Linked DNA regions of Drosophila melanogaster. The protein of the gene in region 1 interacts with the protein of each later gene in a pairwise test. Each region holds a gene or a part of one and is shown on either strand. Other genes may lie near its edges.

Region 1 (8,758 bases):
GCCTGAAACCATACCGAATTCCTGCGGAATTAGTGGCCTCAAGTGGTCGAACCGAGGGCTATATCACTCGAGTTGTTCGAGAAGAGAACGTGAAATGAAAATCAGCTCAATCTGCAAACGTTTTCCACTCACACAGCCCCAGCAGCAGCACATCACAGCGGCAGCCTTCGAACATCTTTCACACAGATGTTTGCATATTAAATGAGAAATTCGCTCGCTTTCGTAGATATACGAATGTATGGCAGCGGTGACAAAGGACCTCTCAACACTTTGGCTTACACACACACCCATATACATACATATATACGCAGCTACCCATGCTCCCCAATTGAGCTTCGGACTTTGAGCTTCATATGTTTAGCGCACAAATGTGCCCTGGCAGACCGGTGTCTCCGTTCTGCGAATCATTAGATCGTATGGGTTACTTCCAAAATGACCATGCTTACTTACACTCATTTCCAGGAAGTAGCTGCACGAGCATTGATATATAATTACTATGTTGATAAACAAAAGGCATGTTCCTGGAATCTTTCCAGTTGTCAATAACATTACATGCGTTAGTAAATAGTCGAAAATATGTTTTTCGTACATGCTTTGCCACCTTTACTGCACTAAGAAATTCTATAACCGTACGTGAACCATCTATAACTTCTTAGAATATCAAGTTTTACTGTATTGTAATTCCGGAAAAGATTTCTGTTTATTTCCAAATAGTTCGCAGTTAAATTTAAACCCTAATCGACAGCTTTAAGGCCAATTGTGCGATCGAGCATTGCTGGTTAACCGCGAATCGCACTTGACGAAACGGCATGTTTGCCCCCAGTCCCTCCACACCGTATCGCAATGCAATGTTTACTCGAGTTTGAGCAAACGTTGACAAATTCGCCAATAAAGGCGACACCAAAAAGCATTATATGTATATGCTCGTCCTCAGTGAACGACTGGCAAATATGTACACGAAATTCGAGCCGACTTCAAGGGAAAACCCGCCACAAATTCTATGGGGCGCCCTCCCCTCCTCCTTAACAATAAACCAATTTCAAAGATACATTCGGTTGGCGACCGCTACCTGAAATCGCAGCGAAATAATTCAATTTGCTCAAATTTCGGGAGTGGGGAAAATTCAGAATGCAAACTCCATTCCTAATCAAATTTTCAACAGGCAAATTGATAAGATTTTCGGAAATATTTACAGTTTTGGTGCCTAAATTGGGTCACTGACAAATAAATTTGGTCAGGTTAGAACACAAAGAAGAGCATTCATTTTCAAAGAAAAGATTTCAGTAGAGCAATCATGAAATTTCACTTGTCAAATACGTTTTACGTATTAAGTACAGTACAAATATTTAACAATAAAAGTAATTATATACTTAAGAAATATGATTGTGACAAGAACTTGAATTTAAGATCCTTGACAGAGGCTACTAAAATTTAAGGCATTAGCATTCAGCGTTGCAAGTAGATCATAAAATTCTCTTAGCAGTAGTATAAATTGCAGTTGACAATCGAAAATCTTGTGATTGCGCTTCTGCTTCTTCCTCCTCGGCCTCTGCCCACCCACTCCATTCGTAAAGGACTCACACATGCAGCGAGGCACGCACACAGGCACACTACCCCAGGCACGCAAGCACATACACCACACACACAAAGACATGTAGGCGACGCCAGTTAGGGCGGTGGCTGTCTGCCCGTCTGCGATTGAGCGATTGAACGACTGAGTGACGGACGGACGGACGAACTGACAAACCGACGCTGCAGAAAGTGCGACGCAGTTTTTCGCAACAAAAGTGTAGGAAAAACAAAAAGACGATCCTCCTCGTATCGATAATCTGAGTAAACCGAGACGCAAAAGGGATCGAAACGTATACAAAGATCAAATGGCCACAGTGGGCACTCGCTATGTGCGTGCACCTTGCACAAGGATGTTTGGCTGAGAAGGTAGAAACATGTTGGCAAGTGTAATCAGGCGTACAATGCAAACAAAGAGGAGACAACGACAATGAACCAGAAGTCAAGGCGAAGCGATGGCACAAAGGACCAGAGCGATGAGCGGGCGAGGCGAAGGAAGGCGAGGCACAAAAAGGAGAGAGCGCTAGATTGAGCCGAAGAGACAAAGAGAGAGAGAGAGAGCGAGACGGATACGGATACAAAGCCACACCGGCATGGTGTTTGCCTCTGCCGCCGTCACTGCCTGCGCTGCTGCTGCGGACGCCGACGTGGTGGCAACGCCGACGCATTGAAGGCGGCACACCCAAAAATTTTGTAAAAAGGCAACTACTCCAAGGTGGCGAAATTCGAATGCTGTATTTTGCGGGGGCGGGGTTAATGACAAAGAAAGTTCTCCTTAAATGCATAAAACTCCATTTAAATATCTCTTTTAGTCTTCGCTTCTCCCATTCTTCACCGTTCACGCACACTAAGCCGCCTTCCATGGCGTCCTTTTTCCTGCCTGTGTGTGTGAGCGTCGGCGGGCGTCTCTTTTACAAACACTTGTGCCTCAAATACAGTTACCATTTTTGAAACCAGTTAGAAACTTTTCGTCAATAACTCTTTGTCTCCTTTTCAATCACAATTCCTTTAAACAAACACGAAATTCAAAGCGGGTATAGAGAATTTCAAAAGTAGCACCACTCACGCACACACACACACGCAAGCCGTCTGCCTGCTTGGCTTTGGTTTCTTTTTCATTTATTTTTTTAAATTAACTCCTTTATGTTCTGATCTTATGACTTAAAGTGGAATTTACCTGGCTCGATTCTCTCGGTTTCGGTTTAAAAACACACGCACTTGCTTCTTTCTTTGCTTTGCGATTCTACACTGGCAGCAGCTCTTTTTGCCTGCTTTCCGTTTCGGTTTCTTTTCTCGTTCTTGTTGCGCGCTCCACAAATAAAAAATGTCCGCTCGGGTCTGGTATTTACGTCGCGTTAGGATGTTTTCGCAGTTAGAACGCGTTAGGGCTTCGGGTCTAGTTATAGTGCTGTCCACAAAGTTGATGTTCCGCCAAATGGTTAACCATACAATTAAGATGACTAAAATGCCTTAACTTAAAATTTTTTTATAAATTATATTTGTTTACATCTGAATCCTATTTATTACTTGTTAATTGCAGTAAACATTTGCAGAAACGTAAAAATTACGACGTAAGAAATCTTCAAGATTATTCTATTAAACGAGAGAAAACTTCTATTAAGCTGACATTTGCAATATTTTTCTATAAATTTTGAAATATTAATATTTCCTTGGCTTAAACTTGGCTAAACTAGTTTTTCATTCTTTAAGTGTAATTACTTGTAATTTGTCTTTGATTTTCCGTTTACTTTTTTAAAAAGCGTTTCTTGTAAGTCTTTTTGCGAAAATCAAGTTAGCATGCCCGTTGCTCACAATTGCGTTCTGTCGGGCGAGGGGAAAAGTCGCAGAAGAAATTTTATACCACAAGAACGGAATTTCCGTGGCCAAATAACAACAATCAGCCAGCAGTCCCGTCGATCAGGAGTTAACCAAAGCAGGAGGAGTCAACCAGGATAACAGCAACACAATTCGACTGCACCCCAGAGCCTCCAGTTCCACTGGGTAGCTGATTTCAGCTGGTGGAGGCGGTGGGTGGTGCTCTTATCGGCCTGCGATTTCTTCCATGCCCGCTGCGATAACAGCCAGGCGGACTTGCCTGTCCAGGTGTGCATTTCAATAGGCACTGTACATGACTGGAGTGGATAATCCTTCAATGCATAATACTCCGTCTTTCAGTGCAACACCATGGGCTGCATCACCAGCAGCAGCAAGTTAAATGAGCTGCGCGGTCATGAGAATGTGTTTCGAGTGCGAGTGGCTCACCTGCAACCCACCCCGGGTACGCCCATCATCCGGAGTGGCTACCTGGAGCTAACGCCCCGGGAACTAATATTCCAGTCGCCTGGCTGTGAGCCCATTGTCTGGGCACTGCAACACCTCCGACGTTATGGGTTGAATAACGATCTCTTCTCCTTCGAAGCAGGACGTAGGTGTATGTCTGGGCCAGGGATCTACACGTTTCGAGTCCACAATGCCGAGCAGCTGTATCCGATGTTTCAGCGCTACATCAACGCGGTGAATACAGATGCCTTTGTGCAGGGCGAACGAGAAAGGGTTAACTCCGCTCATTCGGTGTCCGTAAATATGGGCCGTACTGAGGGCAATAACTATCTAGAGCCGGCTCCCCTAATGAGCCGCCAGTTGGGCAACTTCCACAGTGAGCCCTCGAGCACAAGTGCATCGTATCCGCTGCAGGCCAACGATTCGCAAGTCGATGACTCTCCGCCCAATTTGCAATCACCAGTCCTGATACCCAGTGCCTATTTGGATCAGCCATTGCGGGCTTTGCAGGACTGTTGTCTGGAAGGCACCGCCTCGGATTTGCTTTCCACCCCGCCCTCCGGCAATAGGTTGACATCACGTAGGCGCACGATGGACTTGCCACCTCTGGAATCGGCCCCAGCACCAGCTCCAGTTCTGAGTCCCAACGATGCTGTGCACATGTACGCCAATGTGGAAGCTCTGATCTTTGATCTGAACAATGAGCGCTGCTATGAGAACGTAAATCGCTTGGAGCTCCCTCTGCTGCCGAGGGAACCAATTTCCAATCAAGAGCCGGCCACGCCCACCAGCTTAGCGGGCAGCTGCGGAGTAAACTATATAGTGCTGGATCTTGATCAGCCGCGAAGTCCCGTGGGACCGGCGGGTTCATCAAAGGCGATCAATGGATTTGGCAGCGGCTTATCACTGATCTCCACCCCAGCAGCTGTCACCGCACCAGTAACTCCAGAGGCAGGTACTACGTTGGACGTTCCCCCACCGCCCATGCAGACCCAAAGCCTGAATAGCATCTCTGCTGATACGGGAGATACGCAGGCGAAGAAGGTAACAGAATGCTCCGGGACACAAGGCTATTCAACCATCGACTTCATCCGCACATACGCGTTGAACAAGTCTTCGACTGAACTGCCAGAAACAGTGACGCATCGACAGCATTCGTCGCACGATGCCGAGGAGCTGAGAATCACCAGGCACAGCAAGTGCATACGAAAGGCTTACTCCATAAGTGAGTGAATTGGAGGCAGCAGGAATAGGATTGGTGGAGGAGACCGCGAGTGCACAACGAATTTACAGAAAGCATAATGGACACCAGATCGCTGGCGAAATGGATCTAACCCCACATTTATTTGTGCCAAATCTGAGTACCAAAAAGATGTAAGGAGCTTTTGAAAGAAAAATCATAATGCCGGGAAGTAAAGAGGACAACAGATCACGAAGAAAGGAAAAACAGCCAGATCGGAAAGAGTACAAAAGTAAAAGAACAGTGGCCACAAGATTTGTTAGGTCCTAATTGTTAAATGCTCGATTTAAAGTAAACCAACTAAAGTGACCAACTGACCAACTATGAAGATGAAAGCGTATAAAAACACATGCTGTGCAACTTAAAAGTTGAGCAGATCAAATGGATAGCTTGTTAAAAAATATCGAGATTAACTACTAAAATTAACCACACATGGGATCAAACAGGATTTTATTGATACAGCATACAATATTTTAATGTTTCCAAATGACGTTTTAACTTTTTTGCCCACAAATTTTCGTGATGCTGTTACTTTTGATTTTGAAAAGCATACTTAAGAAGGAGCTAAGTAACTTTCCTACTATTTTCAATGGATTTTCAAGGGAATATGATAAAATTGAAATGGATCTCTCTCGGATTGGGGAGTAAAAAGCTATGGAGGTTGAAAAGAACGTGTTGCACAACGAATTTACTGCACGAGATTGTGGTAAAGTGAAATTTGAAGAGTGATTTGTCCAAAGATATGTTTGCTTCCAACTGCGCCAAGCTAAAACGCAAACGATTAACAATATTATAACCAGGTTGTTTTTTGTAGTCAGTACAGTAAACTCACACAGCCAAAAAACCAAAACACATAGACATGAATTGCATACGTACATAACTTGTATTTAAGGATATTAACAATAGCATTACTTAGCGATTAGTTGATTTGTGTAATTGCCAGCGGCTGTTTAGAGCTAGTCATTTTTGATTTTGTGCATATAAAATAGTGAGCAACACGAAAGGCTTTTAACATTAAAATTGTACATGGTAGATATGGTAAGAGTAGCTCATAAGCACCAGAAGATACATCATCGACGTACACGTACGTTTGTTGTTGGCCAAGGCTTTGAAATTGTATTCTGTTGCCAAACAAAAAAAAAAAAAAAAAAACAATGGTAGAAAGCATCGCGTTGCATTGTCCGCTGTGAGTTTATAATTTTTTACATATATATATCGCTGAATTGTTATTCAATTTGTTAGGAGTTATATACACTGAGCATTCATCGTTTCACACGAACGAGAAGAAATGAATGTTCTTTCGTTTACATGTACTTAAAATCGCTGCTTAGTCGGCGGCATAAACTAAATTATTGTTAGTGTCTAAGACGAAATACGTGCAATAAAGCTCAAATGACCCTGTATATATACTATATATTTTTTGATATTTTCCGAGATATATGGATTTGCCTTGCGATTTTCAGTTAATTTCTTAACAAATGCATTATAACACGGATTACAATATAAGGATATCGACGAAGACCAACATTTAAATACCATTCTAAATTGTATAGTTTCCAAAATCTGACGTTCTTTGTTTTTTGTTGCATAAATATCAAACAATTATTTTAGTTGATAATATATTTTTTACCTTTTCATTGCTTACCAATTAATTTTAAATCAGAACTTAATATTATTTTTAAAACTCAATAAGGGAAAAATTGATCTACAAACTTCTTATCAAAGTTGTAATATACTCTTAGTGAGTGTATCCGATGATCCCTCGCATTTCAGAACTCTACTGCGTCATTGTTCAATCTGGCGATAAGAAGAAAGTGATCGGAATCCAGCTGCTCTTCTCTTCCATTGTGTTCTCATCGGGTTCACTTAGCGCTCTTTCCTCCGTTCCCGCATTCTTCGGGAGAGCCCCAATTGCGAGAGAAGGAGAAGCTGTCAGTCAGTCAGTCACTTGGGCCCCGTTGACATTGACACACACGGCAGTAAATAGACGGACGGAGAAATGCAGCTGAATTGGAAGCTGGCCTTGGCCTTGCTAGCGGTGCTTTGCCTGCAACTCGCGCAGGGATCAGAACTTAACTGGGATGCGGCTTCAGGTCCTGAAATGGGACTCCAAATGGCTGCCCACTTGGCACCCAGCACACCCAAAGATGTCCAGGAAACCGCAGCCATGGCGGTAATCAGTAGAGTAATCGGCGAACGATCTTCTCAATTGTTTAAGGTGCAAGTCAATAAAAATATGGATTTACGAAGCTTTCAGGTAATAATATTTATTTATTAAGTATTTACTTTTAAGTAAATAAACAATACAAATGTTTCAATCTTTAAATACCTTACAGATTAGCATGTTGGATGATGGCCGGATTCTGCTGATGGGATGGGATGGTGTTTCCGTGTGCAAGGCCCTCCATCACTACCTCAAATATGTTTTAAACAAGGACGTGGATTGGTTCAAGATGCGCATTGAGTTGCCCACCAATTTGCAGCTGCCCAATGTGACCATCGAGTCCAAGTCAGCAAGCCCGATTATCTATCACCAGAACGTGTGCACTTGGAGCTATAGCTTTGCATGGTGGGGCATTGAGCAGTGGCGCCGTCACCTGGACTGGATGGCCCTGATGGGCATCAGTCTGACTATTGCGCCGGTCCAGGAAGCCATTTGGGTGAAGGTGTACACGGATATGGGCCTCAGGATGGAGGAAATCGACGAGCATCTGGCTGGACCAGCTTTTCAGGCCTGGCAGCGCATGGGCAACATACGGGGATGGGCGGGACCACTGACACCGGCATGGCGACGCTATCAATTACTCCTCCAGCAGGAGATTATCACTGCCCAACGCAATCTGGGCATGAGCGTGGCCTTGCCCGCCTTTGCTGGTCATGTGCCACGTGCTCTGAAGCGTCTGAATCCCGAATCGACGTTCATGGAAGTGCAGCGATGGAACCAGTTCCCCGATCGATACTGCTGCGGTTTATTTGTGGAACCCACGGAGAATCTTTTCAAGGAGATAGCCTCGCGTTTTTTGCATAATATCATTACGAAATATGGTTCGAATCACATCTTCTTCTGCGATCCCTTCAACGAACTGGAGCCACCGGTAGCCAAGCCGGAATACATGCGTTCAACGGCGGCGGCGATTTATGAATCTATGCGCGGCATTGATCCTCAGGCCATTTGGTTGCTTCAGGGCTGGATGTTCGTGAAGAATCCCTTTTGGACCACGGACATGGCTGAAGCTTTCCTCACGGCCGCACCACGTGGTCGCATTTTGGTGCTCGATCTGCAGAGCGAACAGTTTCCGCAATACGAGCTAACGCGCTCCTACTTTGGGCAGCCCTTTATATGGTGCATGCTTCACAATTTCGGCGGCACACTTGGAATGTTTGGATCAGCGAAGCTGATAAATTCCGGAATAGAAGAGGCGCGTCGCTTGCCCAACAGCAGTTTGGTGGGCACGGGAATCACACCCGAGGGCATTGGCCAGAACTATGTGATGTATTCGTTCACCTTGGAGCGCGGCTGGAGTAATACATCCCTAGATCTGGATAGCTGGTTTACGAATTTCTCACACAGCCGGTATGGCGTTAAGGATGAGCGTTTGGAGCAGGCGTGGCTGCTCCTAAAGAATAGCGTCTATTCCTTCCGTGGTCTGCAGAAAATGCGGGGACAGT
Region 2 (7,959 bases), on another chromosome or scaffold:
TAAAACAGAAAAGTCTAAGGAGCAGTTGGAGACCCCTGAAGGAATGGAGATAGAAGGGGAGGTGGTGCTGACTATGACGGTTCCTCGTAGCTCGGAGACTACTGCGCATAGCAAGTGAGTAATATATCCATTGTTTACCGCTTTTTTATTTTAATAGTTTTTTTTTTATTCAACAGTTCCGAAATCCTTCTGGATAAGAGCTCACACGCGGAGGATCTGAGCTCAGCCGAACAAATTGAGCTTAGGCAACAGTACCAAAAGCAGTTGACCACATTCAGAGTAGTAAGTTGCACCTTTCATAATAAATTAGCCGTACCTGTTACTTATTTGTTACTTACAGGCACAGCCGGAGCACGAGGATTACGAAACATGGCAGGGCATCTCCAATAGAATGACCCAGAATGCCCGTGAGCTTTGCGAACAGTTGCGTCTTATTCTGGAGCCCACGAAGTGCACACGGTTAAAGGGCGACTACCGCACTGGAAGACGTATTAATATGAAAAAAATTATTCCATACATCGCCTCGCAGTTCCGCAAGGACAAGATCTGGTTGCGACGAACCAAGCCTGCGCAGCGTGACTATAAGATCACCATTGCCATTGATGACTCCAAGTCGATGCACCACAACAACTCCAAGACGCTGACTCTGGAGGCAATCTCGCTTGTGTCGCAGGCGCTAACCCTTCTAGAGAGTGGTCGTCTTAGCATTGTATCTTTTGGGGAGGCGCCGCAGATCATACTAAATCACACGGAGCAGTTTGACGGTCCCCGCTTGGTAAATGCTCTGAACTTCGCTCAGGACAAGACAAAGATCGCCGGGCTGCTGAACTTTATACGCACGGCAAATGCAGAAGAGAGTGGCACGGGGGGCGATAATGGTCTGTTTGAAAACCTTTTGCTCATTCTCAGCGATGGACGTAATATATTCAGCGAAGGTGCACAGAACGTAAAGAACGCCATTAAGTTGGCGCGTCTGCAGCGCATCTTCCTGGTATACATCATTATCGATAATCCAGACAATAAGGTAATGGGTTTTCAAGAACATTCAATGAGTTTAACTAATCCTTGGCTACCTTTAGAACTCAATTCTGGACATACAACATGTGGCGGTGAACGCAGATGGATCAGTGAACATTAATTCCTACCTGGACAGTTTTCCTTTTCCGTACTATGTGATAGTCCGGGACCTTAACCAGCTGCCGCTGGTGCTCAGCGAAGCCATGAGACAATGGTTCGAGTTGGTTAACAGCGAGTAATCATTGCATTTACTCTTGAGATAAAAAGAAGTGACTTTTACTTATTAATATTAATACAGGCTTGAATATTTAGCCCACTTAGTTATATTTCACATGTAAATATTAACTTGTACAAACTGAAAATGTGACCGAGTGTACGATTGTTCACTAATGCTTTTATAATTTACTTGAAATTGTTACTTTTTTTATTTTTTACAATTAAACTTTTGTAAACAGTATAAAGTTAGATTATATAAACATTAAACGATTCTAAGGTGCTTATATCGTTATCGCACTGGGCCTTGATCTTCAATCATTGTTGTGAAAAGCTGTAAAAAAAGTTTCGGATAGCAAACTACGAGTATATAACATGAAGGTAAGTATTACACCTGAAGTATGTTGGGTAAATGATAGGTAGAATTAATAAATTGAACTTAGCCAAGTACTACTAGTCAACTATAAGGTAAACAATAAATTCCAGTTTGACCAATATATCTATATCTATCTATCTATAGATCATATAGCTGTATGCAGTTGAATCGGTCGTTTTACATTACACAGACCAGAAAGTAACTTGGTTTTATTTTAAAGAAATAGGTTTATAACTCATTAAGCGTTTTTAACATAATTTCCAAAATAAAAGGGCTTATCGAAGTTGTGCAACTCCTCAGAACAAACTTGTTTCGAACTGAAAAACAGAGAAAAGCTGGTAGTACACCATATAGTTACATCCTGCTGCCACACTGCTTATCCTAGTAAAACTTATCCTGTCTTAGTTGACCTTCGTACGACCTCAGACTCAACATGCTTAAAGATCGACCGAAAGTCCCTGGTAAGGCCATATTGGTCCATTGCCTCGCACAAAGTTCGTATGAAAAACGAACCATGATTTTCATTGCGATAGCTCAAATAGGGTTCGTTGTTGCTCAAGATTAGGAGGATAAATCCAGCCTCCTGGGTGAATTGTTTTTCAGACCCTTAAAGAAATTCGTTACTAAGAATAAAACCGTTTGCTCATATTTCTTACACTCCTTCACTTTGTTTCTAACGACCGCCAAAGCTGGATTAGAAATTACTTCAACAGGACATTTTAGGCTTTCAAATGTCTTGCGAAGAGCATTGGCATCATTTGAGCTACCCCTTTTGTTCAATTGAGAATCCTGAGGGAACTCCTCATGTTGAGAATGTACACAATTGGAGGCTTAAGTTTTTTGATTAAATCATATAGTCTGTCAATTTGTAGCAATACGTACTTTTTGATGTTCAATTCCTTGAAAAAGATCCATGTTTCTTGTTCCCCGATCTAAATTTAACTGAGTAATACATAAAGGCCCGTATTAGATTTATGGCACAATCATATTCATCGACAAATGCAAGTACAACTTGGGTGTTTATTGTTATTTCCCGATTATAAAGGTATTGCCGATTGTTGCCTTTTTATACCCTCTTACCCTACTTTATTACTTAATTAACCTACTTACTTAATTAATTGGCTGTGCTTTTAACATTTGCACAGATGAAGTCGGTGGTGAAAACCCAAAAGAGTCAACGGGAGAAAAGACAGCAAAAGACAGGCAAGACAGCCTGTTGACGAGTTATCTTCTATTCTACGAGTGGCGGGTAGATAAAGTCAGAAGGTCAGTAAAGGAAGTTTTAATCGGAAAATAGTAACTCAATTTGTACTTTTTTTGTCGATGAACAAATCCGGATGTTGGCTATATAGCTGGCCAGATAGTGACTGATAAGACAACAAATATTGCACTTGCTTTTGTGCATTACTCAGTTAACGTTATATCGCCGAACAGTAAACATGTATCTGCCCGAAAGAACAGAACATCAAAAAGTACGTATTGTTATTATTATTATTTTAAGAAACTTAATGGTCTTTACGAAAAATCCATTGATACAGATTGAGAGACTATATGACAGCAACAGGGTCAACGCTGAACCAGTAAGTATAAATTGAAGAAAATCACAAATCATCCATTGAATTTTCCTTAGGGTCAAGGCCTTGATTTAAATGAAAAACTAAAGCCGCCAGCCGTGTACATTCTGAATCATGAGCAGTTCCCTCAGGATTCTCAATTGAACAGAAAGGGTAGCTCAAATGATGTCAATGCTCTTCGCAAAACATTCGAAAGCCTAAAATGTCGAGTTGAAGTTATTTCTAACCCAGCGTTGCCGGACGTTAAAAACAAAGTGAAGGAGTGTAAGAAATATGAGCAAACGGTTTTATTCTTAGTAACGAATTTCTTCAAGGGTCTGCAAAACGATTCACCCAGGACGCTGGATTTGTCCTCTTTATCTTGAGCCATGGCGACCGAAAAGAGAAAATCTTGGCATGCGACCACAGGGAATACCACTTGGACGATGACGTCCTTTTTCCCCTCTTTAGAAATCCAACCTTATCTGGCAAGCCAAAAATTTTAATTGTTCAAGCCTGCAAGGGTCCGTTGAGAGCTGACGCGAAAAAAATGAACAACGAACCCTATATTAAGTGTTACAGCTGCTCCGAGGGCTATTTGAGCTATCGCAATGAAAATCATGGTTCGGTTTTCATACAAACCTTGTGCGAGGCAATGGACCAATATGGCCTTACCAGGGACTTTCAGTCGATCTTTAAGCATGTTAAGGCTGAGGTCGAACGAAGGTCAACTATGACAGGGTAAGTTTTACTAGGATAAGCAGTGTGGCAACAGGATGTAACTATATGATGTACTTCCTGCTTTTCTCTGTTTTTCAGTTCGAAACAAGTTCCTTCTGAGGAGTCGCACAACTTCGACAAACCCTTTTATTTTGGAAATTATGCTAAAAACACTTAATGAGTTGAGTTATATATTAAAGAATTTCTTTAAAATATATTTAAGATACTTTCTGGTCAGAGTAAAGTTAAATGACAGATTCAACTGATCCATATATTTACTTTCACTTTGTCAAACTGTAATTTACTGTGTTGATATCTTATCTTTAAATAAATCAATCGAAGCGGAACCCGGAGATAATGTTAAGTGTTCAAGGAAGTGGGTAAGCAAGTGGGTAGGCATTATAACGCGCTTACCTATTTATCAAACTTTATTTACCAATATACAAAATATATCTGTGGACGGCAGTCAACTTAGTGACGAAGCGCACCTGGAATTTACAAAGCTCTGACATGGTTGATTGTAAAAAGTACTGTACAATAGATTTTTTTTTATAATATTTTTAATTTCGAATCCGATTTGCTAGGGATAATCTCAATTTTATTTGAGTTCACCAAAAAATCATGAATGAATTTTACAATTAACTTAAATACTATTGAGATCATAAGCACCTAGAAAAACAGATAGCACAATCCAGACCCACAAGGCAATTTTATTCTTTCTGCGTAAGCTGTTAAACTTCCAGGACGTCTTCGGGATCTCTGACTTCGACATAATACGAGTAGACGACAATCCAGAAGTAGATACCACAGCCTGAAAAGGATGTTCTTTAAGGATGCAGTAACTCACAAAAATAACAACTTACATATATATATTGCAGATCCTGGGACTATTATCTCGCGGTACCGCTCCTCCTTAATCAGCATGTAGATGCAGTACACAAACAGGATCATACAGTTGGTCAGGCTAGTGATCAGGAAGAACATCAGGAGAACAGTTGATCTCTATAGTGGTTTAGCTTGGAGATGGGATCGGCTGCAGTGGGTGCCAAACAGTGGCTGCACTTACGATTAAAGCTCCGCCCAGCAGGAATGTGCAGCCGATACAATGGCAGATTGCCACCGCTTGCTCAATGTGTGCGATGAACTCCTCTAGATGAAGGTGGGATGCATTACCAGGGTGATCATTTAAATGGATCTGCCAGCCCCAAACTTACGACCCGCCAAGTTAAGCACCACTAAGTTAATGATGAAGTCCACGATGGCTATGATGATGCAGGCTCTGCGCAATTTAATGCAGAAACAGCATTTTTTCACCATTTTACAATTTTTATCTAGACAACTCCATAAACTGATTAGAAAAGCAGAGCTACTGTCAGAGAACCACAGTTTATATTACAACTAGTACTGTTAAAAAAAAAAAAAAAAAAAAAACGTAAGACATGGGAACAAACCGTTCTTATAGAGTTTGCCAAATAATAGAAGCTACGTATCTGTTACTTATCTATTAAATACGTATTATCATGACATATTGTGAGCGAATTGCGAATATTCCAGTCGCATTGGTTTCAGTGCATTATGACTTTCATTTCGAGTTGGGGGTTTTTAAGCTAAAAAGCACATTGTGTGCTTATACTACTCGAATATCACTTGGGACTGCCAGCGTTAAAATAAGTAGATAATTTACCGAAATAATGCTTGTTGATTCTACATGTCAGAAATGAATTTAATTTTCATTATTTCACATTTGGTTACTTCTTGTTCGCGGGTTAGTAACCTCTTTATGAAGTTGGCGCCCCATAAATACCTTAGTGTAGATCATGGAACCCAATGACCGTCCCTGGCCGACCAATGCAATGTGCGAGTTACATAATAAATTACAAGTGAACATCGCAATCGAGCATTAAGGCGAATGCTTTTGGCAAATATTGGCCGAAAAGGGGCCGGGAAGACCCAAAAACAGAACGTGACGACGACGGGCCCCTCCCTTTGATCTGGTTTGCCTGTGCAGTTTTCAGTTTCGTTTTCATCAGCCGAATTTCGGATACGAACCCGAATCGGAAACGGAATCTATGTCCACACTGGGCATCGAAAACGAAATCGAAATGGGCACAGTGCGCCAGCTAATTTGTATGCATCGCGCATTGCTGGCGGGGATTGAAGAGCTGCGCGTAACGCGATTGGGAAGCCATCGGAAATATTATGCAAGGGCGGGGGAGCTACGCATTGCTGAGGTGGCGGATTCATATAAAACACTCGATTGACCTGCAGCAGTAGCTTCATTCGCAGCCGAACCATCGACATCAGCATGCAGACGCAGTGTATCCTCCTTCTCTTGGCCGCCAGTCTGGCCATATGTGTGGCGCGTCCGGAACCACCTAGATCGCGTTACGGACCGCCGCCACCGCCGGCTCCCCAAAAGGAATACGGTCCTCCGGCCCCGGCAGCACAGCCTCTACCCGTTTACGGACCACCAGCCGCCTTCTACGGACCACCAGCCGCCTCGGAGGCGCTCGTGACCAAGAACGTGTACGTGCATGTGCCGCCAGAGGAGCCAGAGTTCTATCCGGCCTCGTCGCCCATCCAGACGGCCGTTCCCAAGAAGCACTACAAGATCATCTTCATCAAGGCGCCCAACCCTCCGACCCCTGTGCGCCAGGTGCTCCCTCCTCCGGTCCAGGATGAGCACAAGACCCTTGTGTATGTTCTGGTCAAGAAGCCCGAGGAGCAGCAGCCCGTCATCCTGCCCGCTCCAGAGCCCACAGAGCCCAGCAAGCCAGAGGTCTACTTCATCAAGTATAAGCAGCAGCAGGCCAAGCCGGCCACCCAGTACGGCCCACCACCGTCCGCCCCATCCGAGGAGTACGGAGCACCACCTGCCCCCCGCACCGTCGAGCAGTTCTAGTTTGTAGTGTCGTCTAGGTCTACAGCCCATGAATGTAAATATTATTTATGATCGCTGCCATTAAAGAGAGTTTAGAGAAAGCAAAATCAGCCGGATCTTAAAGTCCTTGGGATATTGATGAAAAAATTATTATAGCGGTTACAGTATTTCATATTACTACCTTGAAGTCATGAGCGCTCCATTCGTTGCGGATCCAGAAATCTTGAGATACGATCATCAATCAGTGCATCTTAACAAAGGCACTCGATATTTTTTTTATTTACCAGGAGCACGCATTGAATACAAATGAGGTTACTGCGCAAGTTATTGGGTACCGATAATTGGGAAAGCAATAATTTATATTGCTCAATTATGCATTACTCGTTATTAACGTCGAATACAATATTCAACTTTCAATTTGTTTATTTGGTTACTTAGGTCAAGATTGCAAAAGCGCATTGAACAATGGATTACAACATGGATTTCCCTTAAAATTGTTAAAAATGTATGTAAAGCGTTAAAAATATTTATCATTATTGCAAGATGTTGCAGAAAAAGAAAGTAAAAATTGACCGGAAATTGAAGATATTATGGTTAGATAATTTCCAAATATACTATATGTTTGCCAAAAAAGGTTATAAATTACTTTATTTTATATCCAAAATGATAGAACATTGAAAGAATAAATTTTATAAGGACCAATATTTAACAATATACTGTAAAATTTACAAGCTCACGCGTCCTTTAAGCGATCATAATAGGAGTAGACCACCAGCCAAAAGTACAAGCCTAGAACTGGAAAAGGATTTGGCCAAGTTGAACATTGTGCCGAAATATTGAATGCAACTTACGGGATTGAAGAATATCGAAAACTAGATATTCATTCATGATGCCCTCTGTGGCTACAAACACGCCCTCGGCAACTAAAATGAAGAACCGCAGGCAGGAAACTGAGAGGTAAGGCAACAGAAAATATCTCAGGCCCTGTAATTAGACAGCTTTATATTGTCCACCAACCAAAATATTACGGATCCCTACCAGAACTGCTCCCAGCAGTAGAAAAATGCAGCAGATAACGTAGATACCGCTCACCACAAGGGAAAAAAGTCCCAGCAGGCTGTCACCTAAGAAAGCCAGTTATATCTTAGCTATTCCTATGCTCAGGACCACTCACGATCAACAAAGAAGCGATCTAGTCC

Evidence for each region.
Region 2: the proteins of CG13398 (region 1) and Damm interact in a two-hybrid assay, tested with the Drosophila melanogaster proteins (one large-scale study listed by BioGRID).

What each region holds. Positions count from the first base shown.
Region 1 is NT_033779.5:8,409,875-8,418,632, reverse strand, and holds CG13398 (uncharacterized protein), read left to right. Parts: upstream 1-3,376; 5' UTR 3,377-3,672; intron 3,673-3,744; 5' UTR 3,745-3,753; coding exon 3,754-5,082; 3' UTR 5,083-6,489; downstream 6,490-8,758. Other genes in the region: Naglu (N-acetyl-alpha-glucosaminidase), read left to right, coding at 7,089-7,346, 7,426-8,758.
Region 2 is NT_033778.4:11,861,441-11,869,399, reverse strand, and holds Damm (death associated molecule related to Mch2 caspase), read left to right. Parts: upstream 1-3,016; 5' UTR 3,017-3,045; coding exon 3,046-3,078; intron 3,079-3,144; coding exon 3,145-3,186; intron 3,187-3,236; coding exon 3,237-3,444; intron 3,445-3,494; coding exon 3,495-3,900; intron 3,901-3,978; coding exon 3,979-4,057; 3' UTR 4,058-4,610; coding exon of another isoform or gene 4,611-4,690; 3' UTR 4,691-4,742; coding exon of another isoform or gene 4,743-4,881; 3' UTR 4,882-4,945; coding exon of another isoform or gene 4,946-5,028; 3' UTR 5,029-5,093; coding exon of another isoform or gene 5,094-5,196; 3' UTR 5,197-5,288; downstream 5,289-7,959. Other genes in the region: CG13185 (uncharacterized protein), read left to right, coding at 1-114, 177-282, 341-1,024, 1,080-1,256; CG42531 (uncharacterized protein), read right to left, coding at 4,611-4,690, 4,743-4,881, 4,946-5,028, 5,094-5,196; Twdlbeta (tweedlebeta), read left to right, coding at 6,185-6,781; CG34230 (uncharacterized protein), read right to left, coding at 7,494-7,555, 7,612-7,744, 7,799-7,884, 7,935-7,959.